4 linked regions of the Schizosaccharomyces pombe genome follow. Changing the gene in region 2 together with the main gene of any one other region gives a genetic interaction. Each region holds a gene or a part of one and is shown on either strand. Other genes may lie near its edges. The genes, in order: pfd2, ubr11, rqt2 and eaf1.

Evidence for each region.
Region 1: mutations in ubr11 (region 2) and pfd2 together harm fitness less than expected from each alone (positive genetic interaction), as found in Schizosaccharomyces pombe (one large-scale study listed by BioGRID).
Region 3: mutations in ubr11 (region 2) and rqt2 together harm fitness more than expected from each alone (negative genetic interaction), as found in Schizosaccharomyces pombe (one large-scale study listed by BioGRID).
Region 4: mutations in ubr11 (region 2) and eaf1 together harm fitness less than expected from each alone (positive genetic interaction), as found in Schizosaccharomyces pombe (one large-scale study listed by BioGRID).

What each region holds. Positions count from the first base shown.
Region 1 is NC_003424.3:512,227-515,469, reverse strand, and holds pfd2 (prefoldin subunit 2), read right to left. Parts: upstream 1,669-3,243; 5' UTR 1,640-1,668; coding exon 1,612-1,639; intron 1,563-1,611; coding exon 1,472-1,562; exon of another isoform or gene 1,425-1,471; coding exon 1,301-1,424; exon of another isoform or gene 1,227-1,300; coding exon 1,125-1,226; 3' UTR 919-1,124; downstream 1-918. Other genes in the region: putative misfolded glycoprotein sensor Yos9, read left to right, coding at 1-248, 388-918; fol3 (folylpolyglutamate synthase), read right to left, coding at 2,410-3,243.
Region 2 is NC_003424.3:3,700,741-3,708,528, reverse strand, and holds the start of ubr11 (ubiquitin-protein ligase E3 Ubr11), read right to left. Parts: upstream 6,038-7,788; 5' UTR 5,735-6,037; coding exon 1-5,734.
Region 3 is NC_003423.3:3,743,975-3,751,697, forward strand, and holds the start of rqt2 (ATP-dependent RNA helicase), read right to left. Parts: upstream 6,036-7,723; 5' UTR 5,902-6,035; coding exon 94-5,901; 3' UTR 1-93. Other genes in the region: SNARE protein Ykt6, read left to right, coding at 6,195-6,298, 6,347-6,836; protein smp2, read right to left, coding at 7,498-7,686.
Region 4 is NC_003421.2:1,859,938-1,863,745, forward strand, and holds eaf1 (RNA polymerase II transcription elongation factor Eaf1), read right to left. Parts: upstream 2,000-3,808; 5' UTR 1,977-1,999; coding exon 1,892-1,976; intron 1,790-1,891; coding exon 1,698-1,789; intron 1,533-1,697; coding exon 1,446-1,532; intron 1,322-1,445; coding exon 830-1,321; 3' UTR 530-829; downstream 1-529.

The sequences.
Region 1 (3,243 bases), 3.2 Mb from region 2:
CTAAATATTCGTTTGAATGGAGTAATGTGTCAATATTAGAGGGCGACATTGACTCAATTAAAGAAAAAACTGAAAAAACTAAATTATCGTCATTATTCTATGCTGGAAAGCATGAATATTTTTGTGTATATCCCAATGCGTCTCTTATAAAACAAAATAGCACAACCGAACCAAGCTATGATTTACAAGAATTGCGGATACAAGGGACTGAAAAAATCAATGAGCTTGCTAATGTATTTTTAATCGAGGTACGAGTTCTAATTGTTTTATTTGTCTTAAACAAACCAACTTTACTAAAAGGTCATTATTTGACATGTCCATAAAAATTTTAGAATTAATGACTACTTTTAGTACATGTAGTGTTTTTCAAGCTAATCATTGTATTAGAATCGTGGTTATTGGACTTATGACTATGTCTACGGTCAACACGTGCGTCAATATCATTTGGAGCCGCAGCAAGGTTCTGACAAAGTCCTTGCTAACCCTATGTATATACTTGGTACGGCACCTAACACTCAAACTAAAAAGAATTTGGAAGAAAATTGGGCTATTGGATTTGTTGAAGGTAAAGCATATTTGCAAACAACTTTCCGAAATGGGACTATGTGCGACATTACTAAGAGACCAAGACACGTAATTCTAAGTTATGAATGCAGTACAAATTCGGATACTCCTGAAATTACTCAATATCAAGAAGTTTCAAGCTGTGCATATTCAATGACTATTCACGTTCCCGGTTTATGCTCATTACCTGCTTTCAAAATTCAAGAGGACATACCCTCTGAAAAAATTGTGTGCTATAATGTAATTAAAGAAAAATCAAACGAAGTCGACCATAAGGATTCCCAGCACGTTGTTGATGAAGTTGCTCAAACATCTCCGCCTGAGGTGAAGGAGGTAGAGACGCAATCAAGTTAGTTCTACCTAACTTACTACATGTATTAAGTCTACGGTTTAAGTGAAACTCTAATAACATAAAGTGATGATATTTGATGACACAAATACTCTTGGATTCTATCCCTGTTCCTCTGTTTAGGAAAAAAATGTTAAACCGAAGATAAAGCACTTGAAAAACAGTCGGCGTGTCAATGAACGCAACTGCGCAATTAATGGAGTCATCTGTATTATTGTCTAACGACTTGAATTTTATTGTCTTTTTGAAACTTTTGGAATTCTGCTTCGAGCTGCTTATACTGGTCGAGCAAACCATTCATGGCTGTTTGAATCTAATATTTTGATTAGTACATCAAGACCAAAAATTCATCTGACAATAAAGGGTCAAAATAAAAAAATTCCTTACCCCTTCTTGAGTAGTTTTAAGGATAGGCACAACAGTTCCCACCGTTCTCTCCACTAGCACTCCATGGATCATTCGAAAACAACGTCGATTATTATCCATGGAGTTTAATGTGTCCATAACAAGTCTTTTTAGTTAGGTATTTAATTTAAAAATTTTTTATGTATCACATACTTATGTTCGTCAGCATCGGTTTCCAAATCGACAATCTTCTGCGCAATTTGTTGTAACCGAGACTTATATGAATTGTACTGCGTCTGTAGAACTGGAACTGGTCAACTATTTTGTATTTTAAACTCATCCACAGTACATACTCTGCTGCCGAGAAGGTTGTTCAGCCATTCTGCTTTTTTGTATACTCAAAAAATGTTGGTGGATTATACATGTTATATCTAAAACGTATACGAATTTTAGTGCGTAGCAATCATTGTTGCTGTAATGATAGATAACAAGCGCTATGGATTACGGTAAATCTGTAATTAATTAGACTCTGAGTATAATTTTAAAACAGTAATTAAATGTTTGTGTATTTTAAAATTAATGTAATAGTTAAACTATATTAGTCTAATTTTTAAATGCCTATCATTTGCACTATACGTATATCAACTTGATTAGCTCAACCTGTGAGATAGAAGGGTATATTTTTTTAACGATTTCAGCGTTTTACTTATTTTATTGCAGTTACGACAGTATTTAATAATAATTAAAAGAAAGGCGGAATCTTTCAATGTGCTAAATATGCTTCAGTTATCCCACCTTATCTTGTAAGAATTGTAAATCAAGATCTAGTCACATAATGAAAATAATATCTGTTTTATTAAGGCTGCAGGCAGAGCGCACCAAGTATTTAAACTAATGTATTCGTAATCTATAAGTCAATTTCTAACTCAATATCTTAACTCACACCAAAAACCCATCAAAGCTTAATATAAATCTTTTATCTTTTTTCTATTAACCTGATAGCATCATTCAAGCTTCTTTGAAAGTAAATTTTAGTTTTTAAGTCATGGAACAAAATTCTCTAGAGCACAATTCATCACTCTGTGACAATTCATATGATAAATTTGTCAAACAAGGAAAAACGTATGAAAGTAAACAGCACGATTTAGAGGCTATACGTCCAGTTTTAAATAACGATACATGTCTCCTAGAAGATAAAGACTACCGCATACAATTACGCTGGAATTCTTCTCTTTTGCCAGTCTTAAAATTTCGCTTATTGTTAGATTATCTGCAGTATAGCATTCCACAGAAGATTCCGAAGATATACTGTTTTTTATAACTTCAGGTTCCATTGATTTAATCCAGGGCATCCCACTTACTGAAGAAAAATTTGTCGCTATAACGGTATCTCCTTTACGAAGAAGGATTTTCATAATCCCAGTAACGTCTTTTGTGTTAGTGAAAGCTACTACCCATGATACTGATTTATTGTGCTCACGTCTTTGCGAATTTACAAATTTCGCAAGCTCAATCGCAGCTTCTTTATTGTGTGCTCCGTCAAATAAAATATCACCCAAAGAAGGAACCGAACGAATGTCAAGCCTTCCAGGCCAAGATGTATTTTTTACACCATTTTGTACATGGGGAAGCATAATTGAAAATGACGAAGAAAGGATATCGAGAGCAGTTACTGCACAAGCCAAATTTTGTCCTTGATAATCCCCCTTCAATGGAGTACTAAAAGTATTGGTTCCCCAATTTGGAGTATTGATGATCCACTCATTTTTGTTTTCACCTGATTTTCCTTTTGCCAAATAAAACGGATGTGCCCTCGTTTCCTCTGCACTTAATTTTAATTGATTTAGGACGTTAACTTCATTTAACCCATCAACCACGCACGGAACATTCTTTTTAAAGATCCCAGCCTTTTCTTTAGCAATAGCCTCTAAGGTATTTCCTAAAAATGCTTGATGGTCCAAGCAAATACGTGAAATTATTGAAAG
Region 2 (7,788 bases):
CAATTAAATTTTCTAGCCTGTGAGGTAATTTGACAAGCTCATATATGCCAGGATATTCCAAAGATATAGTACTATCACCCCATGTATTTTGAGCTAAGTGTTCACACCAGCCAGCGATTAATTCCAAAATCTGATTATTTTCATCAGAAGACATTTGAGAATACAGTTCTTGTAAAGGAGGAACTTTTATTAATTTGGAAAGCCTTTCTAATTCACTGTCATCTTCATTGTTGGAGAATTCATTGAACTCGAGTGAAATGTCAAACATGCAATATAATACCAAAGCAACTCGTCGGAGAAACGGTAAAGAATACTTCTCCACCAAAGACATTAAACGAAGTAAATTAGACTCATCATCCAAAATTTCAATGTTATTTGAAGAACCACACCAAAGCAGTACATTCTTGCATAGAATATAAAATTGGGACTTGGATTGCTGACTATAATTAATGGTTAAATCAGGAACGACCGATGAATCTGCAACCACTTTTATCATAGAAATTATTGTCTTGCAAATTTCTGAAAGATAGAAAAGCTTAACGTAATACAAAATATTATCTTGTTTACCAAAGATTAGCATTAAAGATGAAATTTTCACAAAGTCATCGAAAGTATTTGAAAGCAAAAACGGTTGAATTTGATCATGGTCAGACATCCGGCCATTTCTCAACATGGACTTTAATTGCGAGTGACGATAGAAAATTTTACAAACTAACAGTTTTTGGCTCTCCATTAACAAGAGGGCTTGTTGGTCAGATTTTATGATCTGATCACAAACACACTTCAAAACGGTATCAGATAAAGTCGGCAAAAACGATAATGTTAGGGGTCCCAGTTCATTGAACCACACCGATCGAGTTGCTCCACTTTGTTTCGGAGAGCACCTCTGACTAACTTCTAGAGAAGAAACGGTATAGGCCAAACTGTTCAGTAAATCATGAGGTGAAACATTCGTAAATGTACTTCCTTTAACCAATTTCATAGCCAATTTTGTTGTTTCACAATATCGATCATAAAGGTCGGATACGTCCCGATTATTACTTTGATCAATTAATGCACCATCGGCTATCTTTAAGCGAGCAAGCATTGCCGAGATAATTTTGCTGTTTATCCAAGGTCTCAGGAAACAGCTTCTAAAAGTATCTTTCGTGTCGGACAGAGAACTTCGAACTAATTGATATTCAAAGCTCGAGGAAGACATAGTACCGATTTCCTCTAACCAACCATTCATGCTACGAGGGAAATTAAGGGTGTCAATGTTGAGACACATTTTGGGGATCTGAGGCATAGGCAATAACACATTCGACAATGACCTACAGAGAGGACACATAAAAAATTTAGCAGTAGAATACTTGTAATAGTATTCACTTAACCCAGCGGTAACATCATTTCTATACATGGACCTAGCAACGTAATAGTTTTTAAAACAACCTAAATGCATGAGATGACCACAACCGGAGACAAAAACACCTCTTATGTTATTTCCTGGGGGATAAGCACTTAATAAACGATCTTTTGAACGGTTGAAAACAACTGTATCATATTTTTTTCCAAATGGCCTCGAATGAGATTCCCTATCTAAATTAGGGGGAACACTATAAATTTCATCCAAAATGATTTCGCTGTGAACATCTGTTTTTCGAAGTAATGAGCTTCCTTGAATAATGCCGATCACTCCATATGGTGCTTGATCGTTGCATTCCTCTTGGCAAAGCAAACAATTACCACGGATATGTTCATGGTACTTAACTTCCTCCTCTGGCTCTTCTGTTGTAACTTCATCTTCCGTTTGATCTTCTCCGATATCGAAATCGGTATTTTGGGCAAGAAAAGATGCTTGCTGATCGCGAAACTGCTGCATAATTTTCTTCTGTTTCTCTAAAGCTAATCTTTTCTTTTCCTGCGTTTTCTCAATCTCGTTAGAATCCGAAGTAGAAGAGGTAGTTGAGAGTTCAAAGTGTGTAGCTTCCAGCATGTTGCTATATGCAGATGGATCATTCTTTTGTAAGCCAGCCAATACAGCATTAACTTTTACATGAACATCTTTGTATTTAGGAGACTTGAGAATTGCAAAACAAAGTTCCGCTAAGCAGTACGCACTGCCACCAAATTCTCTCATAATACTACTATCAGTCGGATAACGCTCAGCGCATGAACGGGAGCAGAAGTCATTTGATTTCGAGAATTCATGAATTTTCATAGAGATTAGACACAACTGAAGTGCATCGCCCAGAATAGTATTTCCAATATCGGATGATCCAAAGGACTCCGCTTGAACAAGTGCATACTCAATCGCACGAAAAATGATAAGACTAAAAGTGCTCGCATTGACGGCTGCAAAAAATATATCATGGCCGTCCTTCTCAAGAAATCTAATTTTTGGTTCTATTATAATCGACTCAGCACTTACATTATTTTTCTTCGCCAAACGTTTTTTAAGGATAGTATCTGACTCCTCTCGTTCATTTTTATTATAATGAAAATAATATGGATCCACCAAATCATAATATTCGTCCTTCAAACTGTAAACGCCAAAATCGTGGAGACCGTCAGGTGCTTTGTAGGAAGTTACTTCTTCTCGAATTTTATCAAATGACAAACTCTCTACTAAATTACTTGAAATAGTAGACAGCAATGCAGAATAAGCAAGAGGACCAAAGCATAGCTGTTGAGCTAATCGAGTGCGAATAATATCTTGGATATCAACATGTAAAATTTGTTCGCGCTCTGTTATAAGGGCAATTAATAACTCTAACATTTTACACAACATAGCTGGTATTCTTTCCGTGTCGTAATTGGGATGTTCATTATAAGTCAAATTATAAAGCCAATCAGTAAATTCAAATCTTTGAACAACTGCATTTAAAACCAAGTTTGGATCAACAAACATTAATATTGTTTGAATAGCGAGGATGTCCTTATCATAAGAAACTTCGATGTTATTAAGTTGACGATAGAAAGCGTCAGTTAATAAAATACTACGCCCATTTCTTATCCAAAGGTTACAATCAATTTGAGCTAAAAGCACACAAACCCTCAAAGGATGGTCAAGAAGAGCAAGTAGTGTATCCTTATCCCAATGAGAAGAAGCGTCAACACGACAATATGAAAATAAATTGGAAAGCATCCAGTGAAGAGGATGATAAAAACTTATAGGATCCCTCGACACGGAAAACGGAACTAAGGGCTGTGTAAAATTTGTCAAAGATGAAGAGGGAATACAAGAGAGAGGTTCGAGAGACTCTGCAATGTCTAATTTAGGGTGGGTGATGGAAGTTATGATACATTTTATAGCATAAAACAACCGTTCATATGGTGCTTGTGTAAAACAAGATGAAACAGTGTTACTGAGCATAGCTACCCTTTGCATTACAAACAATATATTTTTCCCATGAGGAAAATCCCACTGTACGTGACTGAGTATTGCCCGTTGTTGTGGAATCACACCTTGGAACACCCGTAACAAATCAATATACTGATGAACATAACGCGTATCATCCACTACAAGCTTTTTGACTTGCGGATGTTGAAGTAAGTATCCGAGATCACTAAACAAATTGTAAGTCCTTCGGGTTTTTAAGACTTGTCGGTTTAGCTGAATTGTGGGAGTGTATTCAATGTCTGAAGAAAAAAGGGTTGACGGCCGGTTAGACTGCGTTAGTAAGCTTAAAGTTGTTGCGTTTAAATTAGTTAAAAAATCATAGTCTTTCACAACGGCTTCTGCAAGACTAGGAGTAGTGAAAAATTGAACGGAAAGAAACATGACAGAGTGGTCTGGCTCTCTATCTGCAAAAAGAAACGCTGTAGCGAGAGACCTATAATGGATTACGAAACGTATACCCATAAGACGCTTAAATAGAAGATTTCTATTAAAAGGAACAACATACAATTTTGAGAGCAGCCCTCTTAACCGTTTCCAAAATTTGAGATCAAACAGCAAAAAGTAATCTAAACGAAGAATGGAAGATGGAGATTCAACGAAGCTATATGACGAAGGAGGAATTGGATGAGGACTTTTCCAATAATCCTCACGAAGAGATACTTGACAAACCGCAGCAGGGCGGGGTCTACGACGAGCGTTTATGATTTGTCGAAGGTTATTAAGGAGTTGAGAGTTAAACTCCGGGCGAATAGTAACGACATCCTGAGTTGCAGTAGTGGGAATAGGTACAGGAGTATGCGTCTGAGGATTATAATCTACATTTTCAGTGTTTTGTGATTCATCAGTTTCGTTTTGACTTTCGGTTTCCATTGAAATATCTTGAACATCGTCTTGACGAGTGTTTCGGTTTACACCAGGATAATCAGCCTCAGCAGCTTCATTTTCTTCTGTCTCCATAACTTCATCAGTTAAATCATCAATATCCTCTCGTTCTGTTTCAAAATCCAGAAGGTCATTTACGTCGTTATCATCATCAAGTGGATGATCAAATCCTGCAATAGTAGGATCGGTCATATCCGCTTCAAAATCTTCATCACCACCCAAATTAGCAATTCTAGTTACACCTGTTTCATCTTGAAGGTTTGCGATAACATCGAGAAGTTCTTCTGCGGCATAAATATCATCCTCGCTATCATCGTCATTAACAATCTCCAGAGGAAGGTTATTAAAATTCACCTCAGGCTTAGCAGGTTTTTCAAGGCCAGGAGACCAGTTCTTCAAAATTTCATCGCAAACGATAATTTGTAAATAATCAGCAAAATAGCAAACATGTGATTCTAGAAGATCATCGAACCATTCTAATAGAATACCACAAATATCTTCGCGAAAAAAATCGCGGGCAGTACGAACATTAACAGCTAAGTTTTCTTTTGAAATAGCGTTCGCGATTCTTATTGCTTCGTGAACTGAAGCCGATGTAGCAACAGCAAAGCGGCCAATAGAATCAACACGTTGAGCGACTTCAAGTCCAAAAGCCGTATTTGACGAATCTAACGCCTCAAGCACACTACCTACAACAGCGTCAAAGGTATGCACTTCGTCGTTCCAAAGCATTACACGGAAAACGTTGCAAGGCCTATCAGCTACACCATACTTTGCGCTGCTAAGACGAGAGGCCTCCTCATCTGCTAAGATGCTACCGACAGTAGATTGAGCTTTAAGATTCACGGGGGAACAAGAAAAGACATCGAGAATGAAGTCAAGAAGAATATGAATAGTTGTACGGATAGAGTGTTGAAGTTCTAGTGGGATCACTTCTTCTGGCTTTTTCTGCTCCTCGTCATCGGGGACATTATGTATCTTGCAGTTAAGGTCGACATTCCATGCCTCAGGATCGCCACAGTCGCAGATTCCACTATAAGAGGTTGAAATAGATACATGAGTCTCGTGACCCTCGTGGTTTGTGGCATGAAAGCAAGGAGCACAAAGAACACATGTGTTATCTAGCCCACAGTTCTTGCAACGATATATCACCTCGCCGGCACGAAATACGTGGCCACAAACCTTGGACCCAGAACGTTTATCTTGTAATTCTTGGGCGCATTCGGGTTCAGAGTGCTGAAGCCTCGAGAGACGAAAGTCAGAAGTAATGGCACCTGGCTTTTCTTTGAGAAAATATTTCCAATTGTCTTCGTTGTAATTCAGCAACGACAGGAAAACCTCTTGCAGCAAGTGCGTTTTTGATTCTTCATTTGAATCGTATGCATGCTTTTCCGCGCTTTCTAGAAGGTATTTTTGTAACCTAGAAGCCGATGGTTGCGAAAGAGGAGCCGGCGGGTCGTGCAATTGCATGAAATTATAGGAAAGGTTCTGTGAAGTAGATCTTGGGCCGCAAAGTTTTCTTCAATAATTAAATTGGTTTAAAAAAGCTATTTAATAAACAACAGGCACGCTAAAGCCACGGAATATACAAATTTTCATCAACAGAAAATTGGGGAAGTAATTGAAACAGCATTCAGTTGAATAAAGCAAACTCCAATCCTCCTTTACCTTCTTTAAACTTTTCTGTTGAAACAAATTTCTCTAAAAATATTTTTGGCAGCTATAAACCGTTCCTTCTTAATATTTCTGATTTGTATACCTAAATGGCGAGTTACTTCTTGCCATTGCCAAAAATCCATTTATACTACTTTCAGGTAACATCGTCACCTTTCTTGTATCAGTAGCCAATTGAAGATACCAAAAAATGACACCAGCTTGATAAATTCATCAGCTGTAGTCAACTCTTTAAAGCCATTTACTTTCAATTCAATTTCCTATTTCCTTCTTCTTAATATGTGTTAATATGTGTTGATTGCTTTTTTTCGTTTCGATCTAGTGGGCTTGATTTCATCCTTTGCCAGATAGGAATCACCATCATATGAGTTGGAAAGTAAGAGATATGCACCCTAGAGTAATCCAGCTCGAGATTCTTAAACTATTTATCCTTTTTAATCTAATTAAAATTTTTTCCTTTGGGTGATAATTTTCCATCGAGTTTGAATTACCCAAACTTCTCAATTATCTAACACCCCAAGATTTCAAAGTAAATATTGTTATCGCAGTGCATAGTAGATTTTAATGAGCGCTTGAATACTTCGGGCCCATGGAAATCATATCAAGGTTAAACAGTAGCATGCGCACACTATATTTTACTATACTATACTATAATACTTTAAGTAGGGCCAAAAGTTGATGGCTTGAAAAATGGGTTAAATGTTGAAAAAGGCTTTAAAATAATAGATAACCTTAAAGAAATAAATATTACTTCATGGGAATAGTTTATTTAAATTTCATTAGTTTTCCAGCAGTATTGTTAGCAAATAAAAGCAATTGCTCTTACATTGTTGCCGAGCACGGAGGCTAAATTCGACTCTTTCCAACTAATTAAGTTGGCACATGACGGGAATAGTTAGTGTGTTTAAAATAAATTTAGCAACAATTATTGCTGATCTTTCTTTAGGGAAAAAGGAAAAAAGTGTCACAAACCGGGATCGAACCGATGACCAACAGATCTTCAGTCTGTCATGCTCCCAACTACACCATTGCGACTGTTGTCGGCTTTCTTGAATTAGTAATATGTAATATGTTGTTTAGAAAGTGGTAAGTTAGTGTGCTTTTCTTATATTTACAATGTCAAGTGTTTCTTAAGCACATAAGTAGTATAATATTGAAACATAAAATAGCAAGTATAATACAGTTACTTTATTTTCTCTGGAACAAAGATGGCGATCGGGTAGTGAGATTTACAGAATAAGACAACATTATACCAGATACAAGCTGGAAAGAAATCACTTAATAAATTGTAAAGGCAAGACCAATATTGAAAGTATGATGAATGCCAGAAAATGAATGTCGTTCATATTAGCTTGACTGAATCATAGCAAAAATGGAATAGGTATTAATATCCGAGTTCTCCTCATTTTCTGCTTCCAATACCTAGTTTCTCATACAAAGTGGTTCAGGGTATTGACCACTATATGACTACGCTTTATAGTGCAACAATCAAAGCTTTTTTAATTGAATAGGTGCAGCTATCGCTTACTTTTATCTTGCTACACTTTGTCCAACTTTGAATATCTCTGCTAAACGTTTGTCATTAAGGTTAATCAAACGACTTTTATCATTCGAGTATGTTGTTACACTACCCTAGTTTCTTCTGCTAATAAATTATCAATCGTACGTTAGATGTAGCCAAGCGAGAAATCGCTACTTAGTGTTGCAAGCAAAGATGCATACAATGCAAATGCGCAAAGCCGCATCAGTAGTATAAATTGAATAAATAACAAACAGCATTTATACATGGATTTATCAGCCTTGGATATTGAATTTAATTATTTCCTCAAAAACCTAGGATAATGTAAAAA
Region 3 (7,723 bases), on a different chromosome or scaffold from region 2:
GGTCTATAGATTTGTTAATTAATTTTTATTAAACAGACTTAAATATAATAAGGAAATTGGCTTAAAGCCTTCTATTTTTCTACAAAAGCTTCATTAAATCATCAATACAATTTTATGTTCGTAAATTAATGGGTATCCATCACAAACAACCATGACTTTTACATTTCTGTTGCGGCAAGTTGGTGGAATATCCATTGAAATCCGAAGGGATAAACGAATTGAATCATCGTTTCTTCGCCCAGCAAATGAGGCCCGACGTATCGCGAACAGTTCTTGAGTTTCTGAATCTATGATGAGAACGAAAAATCCCTCACTTTGAGGTTTAGGGAACAACGGCGCAAAAATGTAAAAATCGGGGTTGAGCGGCTGATTGAGGCGTCGTAGATAAAGGAGTAGCTTATCTGAAGACGATTGAGAAACTTCAATGTTCATTTTAGGATACGAAATTAAACTATTGACCAGACTTTCTATATCAAAAACGTTAGGGTCATTACATAGCATTTGATATAACTCATCAGTTTTATTTCCTGCAAATTTGTTGAGATAATCTCTTGCTTCCTTTTCACTAGACGCATTAAGTCCAGGTAATGAAGCTCTGTAAATCTCACTCGGATAGCAAGCCTGTTTAAGACACTGCATTAGAGATATGTACTGTAAACAGACATGGGAGTAGCCTAGCTCAGCGGACACATCAATATAAGACTGTATAATACGAATAACCTGATCTAAAACCGTGCTAGTATCAGTAACATAATCATCCACTGGAAGTTTCAATCTTGCCATGTGAGCTTGAGTTAATATAAATGCCTTAACATGAGCATCGACCATAGGAAGGTTTAGGCAAGCAGCCGAATATTTCAGAGATTTATTAATCTCTATGTTTATCAAATCTTCGTTGTGACGAATAGCGAGATCGTCAAACTCAGATGCTTCAGCAAGCAATTGCAACGCAAGATCGAACTCAGCGTTCTCAGTTATTTTTTGAACGAAGTTTCTGATGGTGGTATGAAAAAGATAATAGTAACTAACTATACGACCCAAAGTTGTAGGTGCATAGGTTTCTTCGTTGACACGATATATGCAAGCTGACTTTTCAAGTTCATTAAATGCAGTCACAACAAGTTTCGATAAATAAGTATCTATACTCTTTTGGTCATCTCCATCAGCACCGTAATAAACGGGATTTTGATGAACTCTTCGATAGAAGTAAGTGCACGTTAAAAAATCCATTGCACCCTGTATGCAATCTATAGTGCCCGTAGCAATCTCGGCATTTAAATGGTTATCCAATACTTTATGTAAATAAGACTCTACTGGAAATCCACTATGTAGAAAGTGCTTATAAAACGACTTCTTAATATCCTGTACAAATATACGTGCCACACCAGAATTGTCAAATTGTGGTCGTCCTGCACGCCCTAACATTTGAAGCACATCCGTCAAATCCATGTCTTTATAGCCTCCAATTTTAGCATCGTAATACTCTGTTCCTTTCACAATTACCAAATGTGCCGGCGTATTTACACCCCATGCAAGAGTGCTGGTGGCGATGAGAATCTGAACTTTATTATTTACAAAAAGCTCTTCGGAAATTTTTCTATCATTTTCAGTCAAACCAGCATGGTGAAGTGCTATACCAAATGGTAAAGCCAACTTGAGGCTTTTATCTTCAACTTCTGAAACAATCATTTCTAATTCTTCTTCATCCATGTACAAAAATCTCCTAGGATTGTCTTCTAAACCACAAAAAGCTATCAAATCTTTTGCAGTTAATCTAGTTTGACGGCGCGACGAAACAAAAATTAAAACAGGTTGGGTAGGAGAGTGCGTTTTGATGGCTTGAAAAGCAGGCTTATTCATCGACATCATCCTTGGGCAATAGGCTCTACCAGGGAATCCATCGATATATATTTCTAAAGGAACTGGGCGCACGGAATGCCTAAAATTAAATAGACCATCTCTTATGTTAAGCCAATTTGCAAGATCGTTAGCGTTAGCAACAGCAGTAGATAAACCAAGAACTCTAACTTTCTTATTAGTTTGAGAAGCAACATAATTCATTCGGGAGACAATCATTTCAAGGACAGGACCTCGATCGCTACCTAATAAATGGATTTCGTCAAGGATAATTAATGAGACATCCTGAACATACTTCCTAGATTTCCAACTTCTAGTAATACCATCCCATTTTTCCGGTGTTGTAATTATGATATTTGCATTCGTAACAGCCTTAACATCCGGGTTAGTATCACCAGTTAATTCAATCATACTAATCCCCATTGGTTCAACTAACCTGTGTCCCCAGTCCTTTACTCTTTCCTTGACTAAAGCTTTCATTGGAGCAATATAAACTACTTTCGACTTAGGATAATTGTGAAGAGCTCTCCAAGTAGCTAATTCTGCGGCCATAGTTTTACCAGATCCAGTAGGTGCACCAACGAAAATATTTGTATCGGTGTGATAAATAGTGTGAAAAAATTGAGTTTGGACTGCATTAAAAAACGAGAATCTTTTAGCGCATATACCTTCTAGCACTGGATCGTGCAAAGCCGTAATTGGTAAAGGTTGAAGATCCAATAATTCTGTAATGGGATTGGAATCGTCATGAAAAACAACATTAGAAAGAGAAACCGGGGTAACTGTTTCAGCGCCTAGCCATTTATCTGATACTGCAATAATGTATAGTTGTGAGGGTAATGGATTAGACACAGGTATGGTAAAGGATAGTAAATGAGAAGTGCTAACGTTCCGTTTATTTAGGAGCAACTGTTCATGATGAAGAATCTCAAGACCGTTACTATCTTCAACAAATATCCAAAACATTTGACTGTTTCCATGATATCTCATGTCCCAATTAAAATTGGGAGTGATATTTAATACAAGTCGCAAAACGTTTTTCGTTAAAGGTAGCAAATCAACATTAATGTTTAAAAGAGGTAATTTGGAAATAAATTTTTTAACTGTAGGGCCCATTTTTCGGTTATGAATAAGATCACCAAGTTCTCCTGTAGACATGTCCGACAATTCTTCTAATGATAAAGACCCACACTGATTTTCCACTTTGACTGCAAGGTCATGTGGAAGATCAAACTGAAGTAAGGGGTGTTCAAAAGACCACTGCCTCCTATCAATTGACTTGTTTAAGCTAAGGATAGTAAATGCCGAGGCCCAAGTCCTTGACATTGCAATTTCGAAAAGAGCCCTAGTTATTCGACCCGCGTTTTGTGCAACATAATTTGTATCTGATGTTAGGGTAAAATCTTCTACATGCGCACGAGAAATGTATGACTGCAGAATAACGTTAACTTTTCCTGATGTATTCGAAATACTATCCCTCAACTGACAAGGACTACTGTTTTCCATTAGTGATTCAAGCTCACGATGCTCATTTTCTCTCGATTTGATTTGGGAAAACTCGCTGCATTGGCTCAAAAGAGCTATAATGTCTGCTTCCGACATTTTGCTTTTCAATAAATTATTTAATGTTGAGACAGTTTGATAATTGATATAGTAATTGGACGCGATTCTACCTAAATCTTTAGGAATCAGGTATCCGTTTTTCTTATTGTAAACGATCATTTGATTATCTGCCAGCCTTCCTGCCGCTACAGATACCAATTCTCTTCGCTTGCTGCCTAGTAAAGGATCCTCAACAAGTTCGTCATAAGCAATACCGTATACAAGTGGATTACGTCTCATCCTGATATAAAGATAAGTATAACCTAACCACGATACAGCTTCGTCAATATTAGTTACCGTTCCTAAAGAAACTTCAGCGTTTAAGTTGTCAACCAATCTATCGGTGAAACGAGATTCAATAGGGCTTTGTTGTGTTACAACGGAGATGTAATGAGAAAGTTTATCATGTGTCGTAATTATGTACGCGACTGCCGAACTTTCAAACTGAGGACGACCAGCACGACCGAATATTTGTAAAACGTCCAACACGCCAAGATCTACAAAAGAACCCTTTTGTGGATCATAAAGCTGAGTTCCTTTAATTAATACAGCATAAGCCGGTAAATTAACACCCCATGCTAGGGTAGCAGTACAGCATAAAATTTTAAGAATACCCATAGAAAACAAACGTTCAGTAAGATGTCGGTCCGATCGTAACATGCCAGCGTTGTGAATCCCCATACTGTATTTGAAAAGTTCTTTTAACTCTTTGTTTTTTGACTTTGAAACATCTCTTTGAGCTAGACTATATTTTTCATGTTGTGAGTTGTCCAACAAATCAGCCTCTCCCTCATGGAAAAATTGTTCCCTCAACTTCTTAGCTGAATTAATGGTTTCCTTCCTAGAATGTACAAATATCATTACCTGATGGCCTTCCTGAATCAGTTTCAAAACTTTATCAAAACAAGCTTCATCAATATTTGAGTTTACTATTTTAGGAGAACCTTTAGCACCGATGAAATGCTGTTCAATAGGGCATGGACGAAATGCAGATGAAAAATAAAACAATCCCTTGTACCTATTGACGCCTAAAAAATCAGCTACATCAAGGTAGTTTGGAAGTGTGGCAGAAAGACCAACAATTCTAATCATCTGTTGACTTGTTTCTACCAGCCTTTGTGTCCTAGCGACAAGTGATTCAATAACAGCACCACGTTCATCATGAAGCATATGTACTTCATCAATGATAACCAAACGTACTTTCTCGGCTAACTGAGTGTCGCCGACGCTTTTTCTAGTAACTACGTCCCATTTTTCAGGTGTTGTAACAAGTATCTGAGTTTCTGCTATTTCCGTTTTGGTTAGTTGCATATCACCAGTAAGTTCTCTAGTTTTCAATCCCAACCAAGCGAGACGTTTTCCCATTTTCTCTACAACCTCAGCAGCCAATGCCTTCATAGGAGCAATGTAGACAATCTTAAAATCATCTCTATGAACATCTAGAGGTTCCGATTCATCCATAAGATTCATACTTTCTACATAGTTGGAGATTGTTTGCAACATTGCGAGCAGAGCAACATCAGTTTTTCCTGCACCTGTAGGTGCACAAATTAACATATTCTCGTTTGTCTTGTAGGCGATAGGATAGACAAGCGATTGGATTCTGTTCAAAGTTTGGTAGCTAAGGAATGTTTTTCGACAAAGAATATCCATCGAAGAAATTTCTAACAACTTTTCCCCTTGCATTTGTGGAGCACGCTGAGCATGAGGAACAATAATCTCTTCATATTTCTGGTAATCTTCTCTTTCACTACCAGCCGGTAATGCAAACTTTTTCCCAATGACGCTAATAGTATTACCAAGCCTTTTATCCCCATACACATGAGGATATTTTTCCACTTCAAAAACTTGCTGTCCAGTAAATAAAGGACCTCTGTTATCACGAGACCGACTAAATCTTCTCGGCCTACTTTTTAAACTGTCTAATAATCCCTGACCATGCGTAGCAGAAGAACCAGCTTCAGAGGTATAGCCATCAGAAAGTTGCGCAGCAATTGAAGTATCATTTTGATTCATGTATTCTTCTATTAAATTGGACGAATTAGCGACGATATCTGAAATCAAGTCAATATGATCAAGTCCAACAAGATTCAGTAAATCTTCTTGAATGGCACATTGATCTTCAGTCGCTTTTAGGCTCATAATGACTGCTTCAAATAGTACTGAAGCATCAAGTTCAGTACTTGAAGATTGAGAAATTTCATTGCAGCAATTTTGCAGCCAAGTTAAATCTTTAAGAGCAAATTCATTATTGTCGGAGTCAGTAACGTCCTCGGGATTGATTAAATTATAATTTGTTTTCAAAATTTCGTCAACTTTTAACGATAAAGCACCTAGCTCAGCATTCGAATCACTCAGCGAAAAGCTATATGGAGTATCACAAAAACTAGCAGGACCTAGCTTTTCTAAGTGATTCACTACATAATTTAACTCAACTTCCATGAAAACTGTAAAAGGATAGATCGTTGAAATTAAAACCTCCTTAAACAGAAAAAATTTGAATTTTTATTGCTTTTATAGGATTGTATCCAATATACTACCCAATTTAGCACTGCTAGTAGTGTAGGGGATGGTTTGTAAACAAATGGCCACTACCTATTATTTGTGTAATAGAAAAATACCGTAGTCGAAGGTATTATGTGTGTACATACGATTGCAAGAAGTATGGCGTTTTCAACCAAAGCAGAAACAAACTTAACCCACACCATTAACTTGATTTACAGCATATTTACAGAATGAAGCTGTATTCTGTCTCTATACTCCGCTTTGACCCAAAACCAGTGCAATTATTATGCACTGCCTCAGACTTATCTAGTTTCTCATTTTTTCAACGATCATCGTATGTGCAAGATTTAATTGAAGAGTAGTTTGTTAACAAATATTTCAGCATCGGAGAGTTCATGAATTTTTTTACAAAGACTGTTGCAGAACGTACTAATCCAGGGCAAAGACAAGACGTTGAACAGTCCAATTACGTTTTTCATGTGTACAACCGATCGGATGGGTTGTGCGGTGTGATTGCTAGTGACAAGGAATACCCTTTACGTGTTGCTTATACTCTTCTAAATAAGATTCTAGACGAATTTTTGACAAAAAATCCTCGCACCAAATGGGAATCTGGTGCTGTTACCCTATCCTTTCCAGAATTGGATACCTATCTATCAAAATATCAAGACCCCAAGCAGGCTGATACGATTATGCGAGTGCAACAAGAATTGGATGAAACTAAAGATGTACTTCATAAAACAATCGAGAGTGTCTTAGCTAGAGGAGAGAAGTTGGACGACTTGATCCAACGTAGTGATAACTTATCTACACAGTCTCGAATGTTTTATAAATCTGCTAAAAAGCAAAATTCTTGCTGTATAATAGCTTAATTATTTTATAAATTCATTTGTTTGGTTTTCCTTTCTTCCCAATGCCCAAATTATATCATATTTTTTCAAGTTGGTATTCTTGCATTTTGTTTGCTGCAATTATCGATTGAATATCAAAACCTTGTTAATTTTTCTGCGCCTGTTCCTAGAGTCCATGAAATTGTTCTTCTATCATTATCTTTAATCTGATCTTTTCATGACACGTTGTTTGCATTCCGGATTGCTTTTATGTTATAGAGTAGATTACTTGTTGAAAAAGTCTAGCATGTTTCAATGAGCATACACACTCTTCGTTGATGCTCATAGCATGAATGGTTCACTTTATAAACTTGTAAAGGAGATTTTTTTAAAGATTGTAAAATTATTGAGTTTGTTGGAGCGAGAAAACTATCGGGCTTTTTTCGTTACAGATTTTTCTATAGTTTAGATTTATCTTCTAGTATATATCAAGTTACACAAACTCAATTGTTGTTGGCAAGCAAAATGGTTTGGTAGTAATTTTCATTATTCGTTAATGCTATTATGCATTTCTTTGATAAAATAGTTCAAGAAAGGTAGTGGTTTGGTACCCTTCGTTTATTGAAGTAAAAGTTTGAAGGGTTGAGGAGTATGTGCAAGCACGCCATCAATATGCTGCAGATGCAGCTGCATCTATATTTTATTACCTTCCCGGTATAGGTTGCTTCTTCTTATAATAAAGCGATTTGCATGATCGAAAGCCCTCCTTCGAGCTAGGTATTATGGTGATTAATTCTCCATCCAGTGTATAGTAGTTTCCTTGATAGAGTTTTGCTTTTTCTTGGAATTGCTTTGCATCCTCTACAAAATGATTTTCCTTATTGTGCTGCATGTGAATGTGTGCAAGAAAATTGGTGTAATGGATTAGT
Region 4 (3,808 bases), on a different chromosome or scaffold from region 2:
CTTCGTTCTTCCTTAAACAACGTATTCATTATATTCCTTGTCCAACATGTTTACCTGGTAAAACACACCGCTAGTTGACACTATCTATACTGACTGATGCTGTTGGATGGTGATTTCTAGTTTAGTTTTTCTAATTACAACAATATATTTTCCTTAGTGGAAATGCTTTGAGTAACTTCTTTTCATTTTCATATATTCAGACTAAATAGGTAAGCTCGTCTTTTGCATGCAGGAAACTGAAACGACAAATGTTGGATTGCAAGGATGCTTAATCATCTGATTTAATGAGCCTGATGGTCTTGACAACCAAAATGCTGTCAACTTTGATTACTGAGCAATTTACAAACGAATGTCAAAACTCTTTTTTTGTCTTTTTCCTGGTTCAGACAATTAGTTTTTCTTAACTCCTTTTACTAATTCTTTTTTTTACTAGTCAAGCTTCTTTTTTTTTTATAGTTTATTTAAAACCCCAACGTTGCTACTCTGGTATTGCCGTGGGTTGAATAAAATTGTCCGTCTCATGAAACGCTAAGACAAGCCATGTTTTTTATAGTCATTATGAATTAATAATAATAAAAAGAAATATAAAAAGATGAAAACATTTTAAAACGATATATGTTTTTCCCTTGGCGTAGACACGTTCGTATATAATTAAAAAAATGACACAGAGTGAAACGAGTTTATTACCGCCGATTCGCTGTCGAGTAGTGATGGAAAAGACTTGTCTTGCTTTACTTTACTCCCTGGAATTTCGTTGCAAGTCGTTCATTAACAGATTTTCTCATTATCGTGTTTGGAAAGTGTATACGAAACACAGCATAAAGCATACTTAATCCTCATCCTCGGAAGCGCTGCTGATACCCTCTGCCTGAGCAGAAGAAGCATAATCCCTCTCTTGCGAAGATAGACCCCTCAAAGAGATTGGTTTGCTGGCCGTTTGGGATACTGTAGAGGGGTCGTCTATGGAATTAAATTCCTGATCAAATCCTAGCTCTAACTCTTTGGCAAAGTCATCCAACTCCATGACCTCCATGTCAGGCTCATCGTTGGTATCGGTGGTGATTGGTCCCTTGCTAGATATGGCAGGATATCGAGTATTGCTCGATGAAGGTTTTATTTTTCCATCCTTTGAAGCTTCCAATTCCTTTTCTTTACGTCTCGTGGAATTAGTCGTGACCGCACTTTGAGAGGTCGATTTGGATTCAGAGATTTGGGAATTATCAGATTGAGTGATGGCATTAGAAGGTACAGTTTTAGAGACTTTTGGATTGCGTAAAGCATTTAATCGAGCAATCTCATCAATATGCTCCAGTGTGAATGTCTAATGCCTAATGTTAGTATCGTAGTAGTGACATGAAAACGATTCCTGTTCTATACATACACATGCACGCATGCATACATAGATTTTAACCTCTTTAAAAATAGTATATGGGACAATAACTTACCTTTGTTTTAGCGTTAAAAATTAGTACACAGTCCACATTCCTGGCTCGTTGGCATGAGCCTTCAAATATATGAGGCCTGTCATCATCCTACCAATGAAGATATACATTAGCATTCGTTGATTCAATAACAGAAGCAAATTGATGTTTCAAAATTTGAGGAACCAAAAAGTAAAAAAATGATTTTTTCAAATTTTTACTCCTCATGGAAGAAAAGGGAAACCAACTTTGCTTAGTCAATTTTATAATACTTACAAAAGTTGAAGGAAGACGTAGACGATAGGCTTCCTGAGCCTTTTCTAAAACACCTCGACGAGAAGGGTCCACACTTTCTGGTATAAAATTGTCTATAAACAAAAAAGAAATAAGTATTCTGCCTGGAGAAAGTATGATGTTCATAGTTTGCAACAGAGATATACACTGTCTCTAAAAATAAATGGGCAACGTACATTTAATAGATAAAAGTCCATTTGAATTCTTTGAGAAGCTGGACCCGGGAATAACTTTGTATGATCCCTTCTGTAATGAATTCATGATTGTTTATAATGGTAAAAGTCAGGCCTGTACGAAATTGGAAATTTCGATATAAATCAAATAAATAACGTAAGGTAAGACAGCTCAAGGTTTCTAATTTTAAACCCCAGAAATGTAAGCTACGCAGTTTGGTATCTGGTTTAAGGATACGTAGAACTGCGGTGAGTTTTCCTTGTGGTCTATTATATTACATTACACAGGTTGTATAAGTAGCAACTGAGAATAGGTATTGTATTAACAGGGTTATAATGTTACCTATCACTAATATAGCTCATAACTGAACTGAGGAACGAGGTTCAGTTGGAACTCTATTCATAATATTTCTAAATAGTTGTTATCATCGGGTATCTATGTATATAGACGGATAGTTACCCGTGATTATCAATAAACGGATCTTAGCTAGTATTCCAACATATGACATATAGTGATGCGCAACGTAGTGTATCATAGCGTAGTGTAGTATTGCTGACAAGAAATGAACGATAATGGATAAACACTCAATTTGCTATACCAATTTGCGAGCAGCTATTTTAGCATTCGTAAAAACGAACTTACACAGTGCGCGACCGAGAAAGACGTTGTAGGTTGTACAGTATATATCATTTCGGTACAAGGATGAATCCTTTATTTACAAGATATATATACATTCGAGGACTACCTGCGCACAGTCAGCAGTATGATTGAAATATTATAAAAATTTACTTGCGTTTCTTGTCTTTTAGGTGCATGTCGTAGGGCAAAATTCTCAGAGTATGATGACTGTTAGATTTATTGCTGCTATTGACAACAAAAACGTCACGATCGATTTAAAAATTAGTAAATCAGTAGTCAAAATACATGGTTTTTCTTATTGCTGCGTCAATCTATCATTCATTGATATTTATTAGCTACAGCTCATTTCTTTTTAAAAAATTTACCATATAGCGAATCGCGGGAAATGAACGTTTAACATTTTTAACGAAGTTAGCTTCTAATACATTAATTACGAAGAGCTTGTATAAACAGTTGACTAGTGTAAGCAGGTATATGAGCATTGTGAGCAAAGCCTTTTTGAATAAGATTATGTTTATTATTGTATTATTAATGTACCAAGTTGCATGGGGAAAAAGTCTACGACATTTTCATGAACATTCCATTCTCATTTCTCTACCTCTTGGATTATTATATTAACTTTTCATTTATGGTAAAGCAACATAATCTACGGCTTTACCGTACTCGGTTGTATGGTGTAGCGGTTAGCACGCGAGATTTTGATTCTCGAGATCTGGGTTCGACTCCCAGTACGACCTTTTTGCCAGAGCGAACAGTGAAAGGAAAGAAGCAAGAATTGCTTTTAGACCTGGGTTTGGATTACTTTTTTCGATATCGCCATAGCTTTATTATAAGTAAGGGCTCCTCGATGCGCTAGCAATTTCAAGGCATCGTTCATTAGTGTCTTTGTGAGGGTATATTAGCCGGAGCTGGAGCACATTGAAGCTTAACAGTATCAAAATTTATTTTTTATATTGTAAATCATTTCTACTAAATTATTTACCCACCCTTCATTTTCACGCTTTTCTACCCAACAACGATTTGGTTAATAACGTAAAGCGTACGAATTTGCAAAGCAACGCTTCCGTGGTGTACAGAAAATCGCTATTTTTTAACGAGACAACTTTAAAGCGTAATGCGATATAAAGTTTTTTTAAAGTATCCTTATATATTATTTAGCTAGCGTGGTTAAATTCCCTATTAATTTGCTCATACACTTTTTTTTGTTTCCTTTCCGTAACTTTACTAAACGCATCAACCGCAAATTACAGGTTTTTTAGCTGGGCTAACAAAGGTAATAG